Linked DNA regions of Tamandua tetradactyla. The protein of the gene in region 1 interacts with the protein of each later gene in a pairwise test. Links are inferred from orthologs where the notes say so. Each region holds a gene or a part of one and is shown in the gene's direction. Other genes may lie near its edges.

Region 1 (7,818 bases):
AAGGTGTAACAGGCTGGAGGAACTGCCTGAAATGTAGAGCTGTGTTCCAGTAGCCATGTTTCTTGAAGATGATTGTATAATGATAAATCTTCCACAATGTAACTGTGTGATTGTGAAAACCTTGTGTCTGATGCTCCTTTTATCTACCTTATGGACAGATGAGTAAAACATACGGATTAAAAATCAATAATAGGGGGAACAAATGTTAATATAAATTTAGTAGATTGAAATGCTAGTGATCAATGAAAGAGAAGGGTAAGGGGTATGGAATGCATGATTTTTTTCTCTTTTTATTTCTTTTCTGAATTGATGCAAATGTTCTAAGAAATGATCACGATGATGAATATACAACTATGTGATGGAAAAAAAGAATGTTCATGTTGTATGTTGATTGGTTTTATTAATAAAAATTTTTTTAAAAAGACTACTCCAAAAAAAAAAAAATTAAAACTAATGGTGTCAAATAAGAAAAAAAATAAAAAGAACAACAGCAAAAAAAAGCTAATAGTGCCTAAGAGATCTGTGGAACACCATCAAGTGTACCAATATACTCATTATGGGAGTCCCAGAAGGAGAAGAAAGAGAGAAAGAAGTGGAATGAATACTCAAAGGAAAAAAAAATGTTAATATATAAAATTTTATGATATAAATATATATTTGTCACCGCACTAAAAAAAACAAAACTAAATCAGGTGATATAATAAATGGAATAAGAATGAAAGTTGATAATTGTTGAAGCCAGGTGATAATCATATGGAAGTTTACTATATCTATCTTTGAAATAGTCTAATAAAAAGTTTAGAGAGTAAAGAAAATAAAAACTCTGTCTTCTAGAATTTTTTAGTGCTTTAATTGTGCTCCTTCGAGTTATTAACCTCCAAGAGTTTGCATTGTGTACCAAACTGACAGTGGGACTTCTATTTCCAGAGCTTCTCTTGGGATTAGTGTTTCTGGGAATACACTTTTTGAAATGCTTTGCTTGTAGGTTGGGATAATCAAGAAGGTATCTTGTGGATAGTATTTGATCCAGATACTTGAAATTTTAAAAAAGATAATAAGACCGGGTTCGATTCCCAGAGCCTGCACATGCCAAAAAGAAGAGAGTAAGAAAGTCCCACAAATATTTTCAATTTTAGTTACCCATTTTGAAAGTTATTTTAGTCATGTCTATGCACAGATACACAGATATATGAATATAGTTCTTAAGTAAATGGACTCAGTACCCATATTGTTCTGTAACTTGCTATCATTCAGTAATATCTATTTTTTCATGTCAACCTATATGAGTTTACATAACCATTACAGTCTGTTGAATTTATGAATCATAATTAGCCAGTTTTCAATCGATGACTAGGTTGTTTCTAATTTCTTATAATTATTACATTCTTCAGTCTTGTCCTACTTCCTTAGGATAAATTCCTAAATGTAACATTGCTGGGTCAAATGGTATGTAGAGTTTATATTTTGATCCATTTTGCCAAGCTGTTCTTCCAGAAAAGTTCTGACTACACATATTCAAAATGGCTAAGATTTGCCAGGCAGAAATGAGAGGTGGGTGTCAGGGAAGAAGGACATTCTAATTAGTGGAAAAAGTAAAAGCAAAACCATGAAGTTGGAAAATACACGATGTGTTTAGGAAGTGGCTAAACTCAGGGTTAGTGGAGAAAACAATGAGATACGATGCCGGGAAGATAAGTTGGAACAAGATTGTGGAGGCTCTGGACTCTAAATAGTTTGGGCTCTCCTATAGGCAATGGAAAGCTATTAAAGGTTTAGAGAAGGTTTGATGTAGTTTATGCAACTAGTTCTAATAGTGTGTTCAAGATGAATGTGAGGGAAGGAGACTGGGCCTAACAGGCAGTCCCACAAGAATACAGATGTGAAATGACCCTGATTAGGACAATGAAGGTAGGGAGGGAGAGGAGTTCACTTCTTTGCCATTACATGGAGGTCCTCTTAAGCAAGCCAGCCTGGCAACACCACGCTCCAAGGTATTGGGATTCTTCTTCCATCAGCCTCTGCTCTAATGCCCCCTCTTTCAGAAGCAGTAACTGCGTTTGAAGATCTGTGCTATTCCTTGTTGGCTCTGATACTGCAGAATGTCACCAGGGAAAAAGTACAGTCCGCTTGCCAGCCCATGACTCTTCCCAATCAGCTCCCTTGAAGAGAGGGTAAATAGTGGAAGTGCTTGCCTGTCAGCTTTGCTGTGTGTGTGTGTGTGTGTTCCCTCCCAGGGAGTGGCAACTGACTTTACATGGCTGCAACTCATTACAATTAGTGTATTTCCCAGTGTTTGTCCATTCTGAACAACTTAAATAGATACTGGGATACAGAGATGCTTAAGCTTAAAAGGTGCATGTCAAACCTTCCGAAGACTGCTGTAGATATAAAGGAACTTAAAATTCAGTCTTGTGGCTGCTATTCCAGCAACCAAGAGAGATGTGATTGAGAATGTGGAATTGATTGTTTACAGAGCTGCTGTACCAATGTGTGTTTCCTATGTGTGTGTGTTTCTGAATGAGTCTCAGAAAACGAAGAGGGTCGTTATCTGCTTTATCCTTTCCCTCTCTGCACACCTAAGCAGAGTGTTAGGCTTTCAGTGAAATAGGTAGGAGGTGAGGTAGGCAGACAATAGAATTACGTGAAGAAAGAATGCTTTTTAAATGTTTTATTTCCAGCATCAAATGCAGAATAGAGTGGATGAGCGAGTAGGAGGTAGGGAGGACCGGGAATACTGTTTCTTGGTCATGTTTCAGATCAGACAAAAGATCAACAAACAAGATTTTAGGTTTTGTATTCATTCAGGAGCCCTTAATCTCCAATCTGTTTTACATTTGGCAAAAGCAGCAAAACACTCATTTCACTGAGGCCAGGACGATTTAAAAGAAAAATTCTCTCTCTTTATAGCTCCTACCCGCAGCCTTCAGATCCTATTCCTTGCTGGAGCAGAGTGGTCTTGGCAATTTTAGAATAAAAAACATTTTGTGTTAGCCATTTTGTACCCATGTTTGATGAAACATTTTGCTGCTACTTACTAGAGAGGAGGCTTGACGCCATCAGCTGTTTGCAGAAATGCACACACTCTAGGGAGGAGTTACCAGGCTTTGTTTTCTCTACATAGAAGATTGCAGGAAATGCCTCTCAGCTCCTACATGTTTCCTTCACATTTCTGGGGTGTGACCACTCCTTTTCTTTTTCCACCACTCTGGTGGAGTGAGGGACTGGGGGAATTTTTCCTCACTATCATGGCTATAACCAAGGCAGCTTAGAAACTAGATTGCAGATTCCTGGCACAGAGAAAGAAGACAAACTGAAGGGGACCAGGAAGCTCAGGGCTGGGCCTGGCCCAGGTTCTGGTGCAGTGCCCAGTGCCTTTATATTTATTTAAAGAGGAGGGCTGCTTGGTAACCAGGAGGCTGAGACCTTCATGAGCTGCTTTCATGAGTTTCTAGTCTGCCTGGCTGCACAGGAATGACCTGAGTGTTGCACAGGAATGACCTGAGTGTTGCTCTCAATGCCGTGACCCAGCTGTCACCAGAATGGGGATGAGAAAGGTTTCTGGTTTAGAACCAGGCCCTTAAACTGCTAGGAGGTATCTTATTTTTCCCTTCTAAGCAGCCCAGCATTCATCTGCACCACAATGCCTCCCTTTCCTGTGGAAAGACAGTATAGCACACTGTTTGAGAGAAGATTCTGACCACTTGGATTCAAATCTAGATAGTTTTTCTGCTTGCTAGCTTTGTGACGTTGGGCAAGAGGCCTCTGTCAGGGTGCTCATTTGTAAAATGCGGGAAATACTATCTACTTCATACATTCATTGCAAAAATAATTTTTTTAAGGTAATATACATGAAGTGCTTAGCAGACTGCCTAGTACATGAGGATAGTTGAGTTCATTGTGGCAGAGAAAACAATGTGTTGTTTATAAAATAAGATTAATACATCCTATTCTATTGGCAACTGAGACCGTGAGAATGCTTTTGTTGTAAAAACATAAGAAATTAACTCCCCAGATTTCAGAACGACAGATTTACATTCCAGTAAATAAACCGATTTTATTTTTTTATGATGTAGATCTGACCTTTTCTCGTTACCACCCTCTCAAACTGGGCCCAGTATCATTGTCGGTTTTTTTGACCCTTGTCCCCATCAGAGCATGGCTGCGGGGAGAGCAGACTGGGCTCACCAGCAGCAGCCTCCTCCTACCGAAAGTGGGCAGGAAAAAGAAAGCTTACTGGTGACCTCACCCTTTGGGACTAGGCGTTTTTCCGGCGCGGCGCAGCATCCCCAACCAGACTGCAACCATGGCCCCTGCCCCGCCCTTCGCCGCAGTCCTGGAAGGGCTCCCAGGGGCGGAGGGGTGGGGTGCAGAAGATCTCTGCAGGGAACGGAGGGGCAGGATTAGAGGACCTAAACTCCACGGATTGGGGTGCAACTGAAGCATCTCGGTCCCATGGGCGAAGGGCACTGACGCCGGTGCACCACCAACCCCCACTCCTTGCGCGCGCCCAGTTTCCCCACCGATCTGCTTCCCTCCCCACCCTCGCCTCTTCCTCTGCCTCGCCTCTTCGGCTCCTTCCGGGAGCGTTCGGCTCTTTCCGCCAGGCGGTGGCGAGGCGAAGCCGCAGGAACTCCGCCCCCTTTGCTCCGCAACAGCTCTCCCCCGCCCCTTGAATAGCGTTAGGGCGCTTCCCCCGCGCTCGCGCCCGCCGGCTGCCAGAACGCGCTTGGCCGTCTATAAAAGAGGCAGGGCGCGCGCGTCGCCGCCACTATCCGCTGCGGAGCGAACGGCGAGGATCGGAGGCTGAGGTGGCGGGTCGGTCCCTCAGCACCCTCTCATCCCCCAGGAGCGGGTGAGAGGGAGTGCGGGGTAGCTCGGGGTGGGAGCAGGGCCCGAAGGCAGGAGACCTGAGGTCCGAGAGCCGGGCCACCGGGAAGCGGCGAACAGGGAAGCCCCTAGGGCGGGGCGGGGCCAGCGCGCGGACAGGTGAGCCGAGCCCGCCTCACTGCTCCCTTCGGTCTCCAGGAGCCGGCCGAGCCGGCCGCGACCGGCTTTGTGGCGCGTGGGTTGCGGATAGGCAGCCTGGCAGAGCTCCGGCGCCGGCGGCTGGAATGTCATTTACTGGGGGGAGGGGGGAAGTGCCGTCGGGTTCTTCTCAGCACCCTCCTCTCAGTCCCAGCCGGGTTGCGGCCCCGCCCTGTTCCACCCGGCTGCGGCAGGTGGGGTGGGGGCCCTCGTCGGGATCTTTACCATCCCCGTTTTTGAAGAGTGCCCCCATCAACAGCCCCAATCCTTTCCCTCTGTGGGAGCGACTCCTGCAGCTCATTTTCCCAAATCACCGCAAGATTGAGGTTCAGCAGCAGTGCCTGCCCGACCCCTGAAGGAGGAAGGGCCCAAAAAGCATAAGGATCTCTTGGAACTTCATTTCATTCTGTATGGCGATTCTTGACTCACTCTAGGCGCGGAAAGGTCCGAGACTAGCCGTCTCGTTTTCTTCCTTGTAATAAACATTTCTTTCCTCCTCAGTTGTGCTCTCCTTGTAAACAATAGGTAGATGCAGTGCTTGCTTTGTAGAAGACCCAAATCGAATAATTTAATGTCTTAGGGTCTTTTTTCTCCCGAAGGCCGGGTCTTTCGGTCGAGAGCAGTATGTTACTAGACAGAATTTTTACAATCATGCTAATGTTGAATAATTGGGCAGTCTTTTGTTTGAAAGCCGTGTCTCAGAATTTGGTGCTTTCCAGTGAAATTTGCTTTTCAAGATCTCTTTACTGTATTGGGATAAAAGAGATTTGTTAAAGTTAAGGGTTGAGATGTTTCAAAGGAAAGCCTGAGTAGCCCATGGAATTGGGCTGAGATGATGCTTGAACTGCTGTAACACCTTGTCAAATGTCTTTTATGTAATAGATCCTAAAATATTTAAGGCCCTTTATTCTGTCTTCATCATGGTGTTTTAGAAAAACGTAGAATCATGGCTGTGAGGGGAGAATAGAAAAGAGACCATATGAAGTATTTTCATAATGTGTTGAGAAATTGCGTCGTCATAGCAATTGGACTTAAGTGAAGCAGAATGTATCAAAGATGGAAGGGTGGGGGTGTCCTGCACAGCCAAGGCCCAGCAACAATCCCAAGAATAGCAGTGGGAACACTAGCTGTATGAAGCCATTGAGCCAAGGTTCCAACTTAAACTAGAAAATTTACCTTTCGTTGTAGCTAATGTCTTAGATTTTGAAAGGTCAAAATGAAGTCAAAGTTATTAAAAAAAAAAGTGCTGCAGGAAAAAAATATGCTCTGCAGTAAGTGCCTCTGTGCAGGAAATTAACAATCCCTTTTTAGTAACTGGGCCAATAATTACTCAAAGGGACCCTCAAAGTGTGTTAGCAGTTATCTAGGGACCTAAAATGGAAAGATTCAAAAGGAGGATTTACTCGATAGTGGACAGGTGTGAAGCGTTTCTTTTTTTTTTTTTTTTAAAGGAAGGAAAGAAAGACAGAGAAGGAAGGAAGGATGGGAGGAAGAAAGGGAAACATCTTTATTTTTATTATATTTTGTTTGTTTGTTTGTTTTTCACATGGGCTGGGGCCGGGAATCGAACCGGGGTCCTCCGGCATGGCAGGCAAGCACTCTTGCCCGCTGAGCCACCGCGGCCCGCCCTGAAGCGTTTCTTGTTGGTAAACTATCAGTTTAGTAACTAATTCTGATATGCTTTTTTCTTGGTGCAGTGTGTTTTGTAGTAATCTAGTATTTGGAGAAATATGGTATGTCACAGGCTCTAATGTGAGCCTGTGAAGCAATCCGATGAATAAATTTAGGTGTGGAAGAGCTGTTTTAAGTATATCGTTTGGTTTCCTGGGTCAGAATTTTCCCTACTTTTCCTACCCACCTTCATCCCAAAGGGAGGGGCCAGTTGCAGATCATGAGAAATGGAGCTCTGGAATATTCCACCACAGTCCTGTCATTGCTGAACCTACACTAAGGACAGGGGGCCTGAAGCCGGCCTGCCTGTGTAATCAATCCTCAGTGGACTGTGCGAGGACTTCACTAATTATGCACGCCTGCCTGCTTCAGCTTTTCAGCTGTGGTTGTCTGAGTCCAGGAGAAGAATGCAACACCCTGATTGCAAATGCTGACTCTAGGAATGCAGAGAAAGAAGGCATAGTTGATCACTTGGAACCAGTTGACTGGAGCAGCTGTGCATTTGAACCATCATCCCCCTTCCACCTTTTTTGCGTATTCTCTTATACCATGTTTGAGCAGGAAGTAGTATTTGCTGGAAATTTACCTGCAAACTTGGCCCAAGTCAGATGTTTTTAGCTTGAGTTCATTCTTGTTTCTGATAATTTCATGAAAGCATGCTATTTTATTTGTGAATGAGAGGGAGTTTAGGAATCATCTAGTCCTGAGATTCTCAATGAACTTGGAGTGTGGGTCGTGGGGGGAGGCATGTTTTGTTTTAAAGAGTATTGTAAATTTATTGGATGAGTGGGTAAACAGGCTGAAAAGGAGCCGTGACTTGGTTGAGGCAGCACACAGAGATACTAACAGTTAAAGATCAGAGAACCTTGGTTCTCTTTCCACATTTTAAATCCCTGGTGAGATAGAGATAGAAACTGTATAGAATGTCAAAGGAGATAGGAAAATATCTGAAAATTGATTTTTATCTGTATTCATGTATTTTTAAAGGTCTGTTTTCTTCATTTTGAAATTTTGTTCAGTTTGCCCATAGATGCTTGTTATTTTGCTCTTCCCCCTCCCTCTTTAGACTCCGCATTCCTCCATCATGTTGTCATCATTTCGTAAACGCAGAGTCCAGGTATT
Region 2 (7,391 bases), on another chromosome or scaffold:
AGGCAATAGTTTTCAAAGCACTCTTCAACAAGTAGGTACAGAACAGATCCCAGAGTTTGTCACTGGGCACCATAGTGATCTTTCAGAATTTTCCTTTTAGCTACTCCAGAATACAGGAGGCTAGAAGACTTAAATATTTTTTTATCACCTCAATCACCTTTTTTCTTTCTTCTTTGTGAAAAATAACAATAGCTATTATTGTATTTGATCCTCATGATTTATTTGTGAGGGGATAGGTCAGGAATTATCATCCACATTTGATAGGTGAACAAACGGACTCCAAGAGATAAATTGACTCACCTGGTAGGGAGGAGCCCAGATATTCAGTCCCTAACTCAGTGTTCTGGCCACTCACCAACTGCATGGCAGAACCAGGATTCAAGAAGACCTTTAGAAGAAGAACAGCCAGTTGAAGTGGGGAAAAAAATGAACATAACAGGTAATATAACATTTTAGACACCCTGCATATTGATTTACCATTGTAGATTATCATTTTAAGTTTTTAGGTATATATGCCCTGTCCCTGACTCTTTAAAAGGCCTTAAATGTACCGGACTATTCTTTGACCTCCCTCTCCTCCCAGGGATGTAGCAGTGCTAGACACATAGCAGGTGCCCAGTAAATATTCCTTGACTGGATAAAAGCGTTCCATGCTTTTGTCTTCTTGATTTTCTCTCCATTCCTGAAACGACTTTCTTGGCAAATTTCTGAATATCAGGGTGACATTGGAGCAGCTGCATATTTTCATTCAGCAGGATAGTCTGCCCATTTGTTTGACACTTGCCCCAGAAAGAGGACTGCTCACTTAATCCATGTGCACTTTCTTATGAAATCTCTCAGAATCCACAAACCTTGATATGTTTTGAATAATTCTGCATGCCAGAGCCATAGGTAGAAGAGTAAAGAGGAGGTAAGATCCTTCCTTTCATAGAGTTGTCACTTCCTGGAGCTTATGGTCCTGGTGGAGTTCTTTGTATTTCTGTTGCAAGATTTTGCATCTTTGCTGTGTTTCATTAGTGATCTAAGAACCTCACACAGAACAATTGAATTGTGAGAGAGACTTGCTCCAAAATGTGCCTAAAATCATCAACTTCTCACTTGTTTACTACTGTCACCTGAGTCCAAACCCATCTTCTCTTATCTAGACTACTGCAATGGCTTCTAACTGGTCTCCCTGTTTACATTTTCCTTTTACAACTGCCCAGTGGGTTCCCTGGCTGATAAAGCCCTACTTACCTCTTATCTTCATCCTTCTTGGCCCCTTGTACAGCTTCTTTGCTCTGCATGTAATGCTCTTCCTTCATATTTGCATGAATGACTGCTTCTTGTTATCCAAATCTCAGCTGAAATGCCGCTACCTCAGAAGGGCCTTCCCTGTCACCGTTTCCAAATTTAGTAGCCCCCAGATTACTCTCTCCTACATTGCCCTATTTTGTATCCTTTTCCTTATTTATTAGGTTCATTAGAATGTAATCACCATGAAACTGGGGGCTTTGACTTCATTACTCCTCTCTTCACAGAAGCTAGAATAGTTAAGTTTCTAGCACATAGCAACCCTTCAAGTTTTGTGGAAGGATTGAAAGGTTAATTTTCAGTAACCTAGCACAGATATTTAGAGTGTGCTTATATGATGAGAAAGATGAATATAGACTTGAATTCAGAAGTAATTACCAGTAAAGTCCTACTTTTGAGTATTGGTTGATGGAAAAACATATGTATTTTATGGTAGTATTTCACTTAAAATTGAGGTGAAGGATGGTTTTATTTAAGACTTCTATTTTAAAATTAAATATACTAAAGAAGTTCAGTTGAATGATGAAATTTGGGGGTAAGACTTAGTCCAAAGTATAGAACTCACATTTAAGATTTCCTATCACATTTAAGATTTCCTATCAATTCAGCAGGTTTAATTTAGTTTTGTTTTTAATTTTTGGAAAGGTTAATTCAACAAGAATAAAAAGGCATTCAGTAAATCCAAAGCCTATCAGCTGCTTAACTTGTCCTGTGCCTTGTGAAGGCTTAGAAAGGACTGTAAACCTTGGTCAGTGCCTGTTTTAGTTCCCTAAGCTGCCAGAATGCAGTATGCCAGAAACAGAATGGCTTTTAAAAGAGGAATTTACTAAGTTGCAAGTTTATGGTTCTAAAGTCATAGAAATGTCCAAACTAAGGCTCCCACAAGAGGTTACCATCACTTAAGAAAGGCTGATACCATCCGGAATACCTCTGAAACTGGGAGGACATGTGGCTGGTGTCTGCCAGGGTCTCTGGCTTCTGGACACCTCTCAGCCGGAAAGACACATGGCAACATCTAGCTTTCTCTCTTCGTTTCATAAGACTTTTCTGGGGGTGTTTTCCTTTTTCATCTCCAAAGATCTCTGGCTGTGTGGGCTCTGCTGGCAGTAAAGCTTTGTCCAAAATGGTTCCCTCTTAAAGGGCTCCAGTAAGCAACCCCACTTTGAATGGGTGGTGACACATCTCCATGGAAACCATCTAATCAAAAGTTACTACCCACAGTTGGGTGGGTCACAACTCCATGGTAACAATTAAAAAGATCTCACCCAGCAACATTGAATGAGGATTAAAGAACATGGCTTTTCTGGGGTACATGATAGTGCCAAACCGGCACAGTGCCTGAATGCTGTCCAGAATTGGGGGATACTGGCCCAAAGCATCATGAATTTAGCTTGAAGCTGCCCTTAGCATGCTGTTTTTCCTCGGAGGGGTCTGTGCATTTCTGGGAGTGAGGACTAGTGTCTAGTGGAGATTATGGGAAACTGAGCTCTTCATGTCTCCCCCATGCCAACCCCACTAGTCCCTGTCCTCAGTGACACGTGTGCGTCTCGTTAGAGATCTGAGACAGGAAAGTGGGCAAAGGTTACTCAGAACAGGACAGGATGTAAGATTTTAAAATGGATATTGATTATCAATGGGAATTTTGGAGATTTAGTGCTCACTAGGGGCTGGTTTGAGTCAGGAGGGGTGCATACTAGGGTTTTGAAGCATTTGCCATAATATTGTTGATTGTGGCTCACAGGGGCCAGGTATTTCATTTCTGCAGCATTCCCACAGAGCAGGTGCTACCTTCTCCCATCTTAAGAGGCTGAGACTGGGGAAAACTTGCCCCTGCCTTCTCAGGGAACATGAATAAAACTAGACTCAGCACCACACCTTTCCATACCCACTTGTGAGAGAAGGCATAAAGCAGGTTTTCAAGAAAAGGTGAGCCAGGAGTGGAGGTGGGCTGGGACCAGCCAGGGGTCCATGAGGAGACATGCATGGGAGGTGGGTTGAGGGCATAATGGGCCACCTCACAGAGGAACCAAGACTCTATTCTGCGGACCATGAAAAGAGGTGTGGGTTTAATGGAAGTTTGCCAGAGTAGGAGACTGTGCATAGAAGACTGTACAGGAAGAGGTGAGCCTGGCAGGGGGACCAGGCAGAGATGAGGAGGCTCTTATTTAGAGGGTGGAAGAAATGAGAAGTAAGGGGATAGAAGCTGGGCCATTGAGGAGACTATAGAGAAGCTCTTGTTACCACGTAGGCCCCTGCTTATCTGAAAAATCCTTGGTTGGGCCATGAGAAAAGAATAGTATTTTAGTCACCATAGGAACTGATTTTCACTTTTTTCTCCTGTCTCACATCTGTGCACACAGTGGGGAATGTGTATAGCTCAGAGTGTCCCACACAGTCCTGGCACTGGCAGGGACTGCTGGAGTCATTTCACGGGGTGTTTTCAGACTGTGTCTATGTCTGTCCCTACTGAAGAGAAAGTAAAGCGTAGCAGCAGGAACACTGGGGGTCCCTCCATCCCTTCTCAACCAGAACTCTTCTGCTTTTATCAGTTTTGTATTTTAGGGTTCATATTAAGTGTTATTTCAAAAAGAAAGCAAAGACAAAAACCAAAATTCTGAATATCTGGCTGTTCCTTCGGGGTAGAAAGGGAAATTGAGCCCCGGAGTAATAACAACTTTGTCTAAGTCTTTAGTCATTGCTAGATGACTTAGAGTGACTCTTTTTGTTGTTTAATCATTGTGTGGTCACACAAGTGCTTTTTCAAGTCCTGGGCTGGAAAGGTGTAGAACAGTCATGGAACCTCCTTTATGCCCCTGTTCTTGACACTTTGGCCAGGGCCAGGTGGATAAAATAAACCAGAAGGACTCATAGATGCAGGTCCCAAAACCCCAGTGGGGCATAAGGGTTAAAAGTGGTGGAGTCACCTATATTCTGGAGTAGCTAGAAGGAAAAATCTGAGAGGATCGTATGGTAGCCCATGACAGACTCTGGGATCTGTCCTGTAACCACTTGTTGAAGAATGCTTTGAAAACTATTGCTTTTTTATTTCTTTGCTTTGTATATATGTTATACTATACAATAAAAAAAAGTTAAAAATAAATAAATAATGGTGGAGTCAAACCAACCTGAATCCCAAGTTATTGCTCTGCCATTTAAAAGCTCTAAGACCCAGGGCAACTTATTAGATACTTGTCCTTGGTTTCTTTATTAGGAAAGAAATCTCATAAAATTACGTCTAAAGTGCATTTTGTGCTGGGATTTGGAGATTTTTCACCATTTCTATCCACTCGTCTCTCTACTAGGACCTTATGAATTTTCATACAAGATATAACCAGCTCTCCAACAGGAGGTTTGAATCACTGGTGGAAAACAGGCACTGTCTAGAGATTGTCCATCCCATTAGACCTTCTGTTACACTGGACCTACCTTGTGGGTTTTAGCAATGCTAAAGCAAATTAGACCAGTTAGCACTGTGCCAGATGCCTAGAAATTCAGACTACTACTCTTCCTCTTGTACTTTGCAAAGAGAGCCGAGAATGTAGACTTCCTCAAACTAACAAATCTATCAAAAGTTATTTGTGTATCTATGGTTTGCTAGCTCTGCCCTCAAGGTTGTGAAGGCTCAGTAAAAAGATGCTCTGGTAAGTTCCCCCAAGAAGTTTGCTTCTGGCTGACTACCAGCTGCTCCTTTCTCCATCCCACCTGAGTAGATCCAGGTAGTCATATAATTGTATTTGGTCTGGGTGATTGCTCTTCCTAGGACTTGGGTAATCTCAAAACTGTTGTTTTATTTATTTTTTTAACCTAGAATTTAGGACAGTGGTTTTATACATAATACATATGTGTCCAAATAAATAAACTGCTAGTGAACAGACAAAATGCTTCAATTAGGAGGTATCCCTCATCATAAAGATGAGCCTTCCAGCAGTCCACGCTGTCCAGGGAGAGGCCATCTTGTGAGATGATAAAGATGATGAATGATGACGTGTCTTTATACACTTGATAAAGGATTTTACAGCTCCATTATGGGGTCCTGACAGCAATCTCTGAGAGAGGCCTGGGCAGTGTTACTGTTATTCTATATTTAGACCTGGAGACTCCAAGACTCAGAGAACTTAAGTAGCTTGCTAGCAATCGCAAAGCTAGTATATGGCAGAATTGGGACTTAACACTGAGTTCTTTAATGACTGAATCCCCTGTTTTCTGTGATAACCATGATTCTGCCAGAAGCTCTCAGCGGAGAGGGCCCAGGTGGAGGCTTGTCAGGAACATTGTGGAAGGCATTCCTGTACCAGCTTAGTACATCATAACTGTTTGGTTTGAGGGACCACAGGAGTCCCCAGAATAGTGTCCTCACTAGTTGGCCTGCCTCAGCTTGTCATTATCGCTTCATTTCTTTGAGATGGAACAAACTATAGACAGAAGGCCGCCTCTGGGCACCTTCGTGTGAACACAGGTACTAGATTGCCTGTCTCCCTAATAGAAAACTGAGGCACATGGAGGTTCACTCTACAGACCATTACTGAATAACTGTTCTGGTAAGATATGTTCAAGGCATGAGGAATACAAAATTAACCTCACACAATCCCAGCCCTTGATGAACTCACAGGTTTCCAAGGGAGTAAGGGGGGAGGACAAAATGCCAGCTTGGTATGCAGTTAGCAGCACAGAGGGGACCACCAACTGTCCTAGGGACAGCTCAGGGTCCTGGGGAGGCAGCCAGCAGCCGAGGGACAGCATAGGCAGCACAGAGGGTGCAGGTCAGGATTAGGGAGCAATGAATAATATGGTCTGGTTGGCCCATGGACCCCAGAAGGAAGATCTAGGCATATTTTGGGAACTGGAATGTCTGGCTGAATTTTGAGGTTTTAGAAGTGTTTTGATGAAAGAAAATTGGAGCAATAAGATTGTGCAGGCCAGGCCAAGGAGTTTTTACTCATCTTGTGGGCACCAAGGAACTAAAGCAGTTTTAAAGTGGGAAAAGGGGCATCAATCAGATTTAGAAAGGTTGCTCTACAGATTTTTAGAGAAGGGACAGAAGAAGACGACTAGTAACAAGACTGACTGAGAGATGATGAAAGCCATGGGCATGGGGATGGGGGAAAAGGGCCAGAGTCAAAGAAGTCATCCTAAGGAGAATCAGAATCAGTGACTGATTACATTTGTGGTGTGAGGGAAAGAACAGAAAAAGTTAAGAATGACTCATGGGTTTTTATTTGGGATTTGTCTCCCTTCTTTTTTCAAGATTTGCAATGCAAAGGCTGAAGATTCTCCTTAATGGCAAGTTTCAGAATACAGCCTCAGCTCATTTGGCAAATCTTGCCAGCTTGGGCTTTACAAACTGGTAAACATTTCTCTCTTCTTTTGGCTTGCGTCTCATTTCTTGTTTCTTAATTTCTGTTCTGTTCTGAAATTATTATAGTAGTTGTACGTCAAGGAATTGATGAGAACCTAGTATATATTAGACACTCAATAAATGAATAATCAAATAGATGGGGACACTAACATGGTGACATGCAAGGTAATTTGATTGGGGTGAAGATGAGCACAAAGTGTGATTGTTGAGATTCTGTTGCGTCTTATGCATTTGTGTGAAAATGAAGCTTGGTAATGGAATGGTAAAGCACAAAATTTAGGAGAATTTTTCAGTGAACTGACTTTGGGTAAAAGATAGCCTGTGTATCATTATTTGCTGTATTCACTTATAATTCTGGTTATGCTTGGTCATTAGAGCAGCCACAGCCATGGGAGGATGAGGTAATTAGGTAGTTCATAATGGAACAGGTTGCTTTCTCATTCCTTTAAGCTTTTCCCACTCTCCTGTAAAATTCTGGGGGTAATAGTGAGGGAGTGGTGGTGTTTCATGATTACCCATGGTCCCAGGCATGCCCCAGGTCCAACTTATTTCACTAGACTAATCCAGCTCCCAGCCTGGAGCCTTAGCACACACTGCATTAATCAGACTTGCTGGAATGATCACATGGTTTTCTCGCTGCCTCCCTGTTAACTGCCGCTTGTCAGCAGCTGGCAGAGCTGGAGGCTGCAGGCCCATGTCTGCAGAAAACCTTTTACTTCAGGATATTGGGAGTGTGTGGAAA

Evidence for each region.
Region 2: the proteins of SPTAN1 (region 1) and EVL interact in binary tests that used the Homo sapiens proteins (3 or more experiments, as listed by UniProt). The link is inferred for Tamandua tetradactyla from reciprocal best matches to the Homo sapiens genes SPTAN1 and EVL.

The regions. Positions count from the first base shown.
Region 1 is NC_135328.1:51,383,003-51,390,820, forward strand, and holds the start of SPTAN1 (spectrin alpha chain, non-erythrocytic 1), read left to right. Parts: upstream 1-4,719; 5' UTR 4,720-4,852; intron 4,853-7,818. UniProt on the Homo sapiens protein: Fodrin, which seems to be involved in secretion, interacts with calmodulin in a calcium-dependent manner and is thus candidate for the calcium-dependent movement of the cytoskeleton at the membrane.
Region 2 is NC_135338.1:61,272,481-61,279,871, forward strand, and holds the start of EVL (ena/VASP-like protein), read left to right. Parts: upstream 1-4,385; 5' UTR 4,386-7,391. UniProt on the Homo sapiens protein: Ena/VASP proteins are actin-associated proteins involved in a range of processes dependent on cytoskeleton remodeling and cell polarity such as axon guidance and lamellipodial and filopodial dynamics in migrating cells.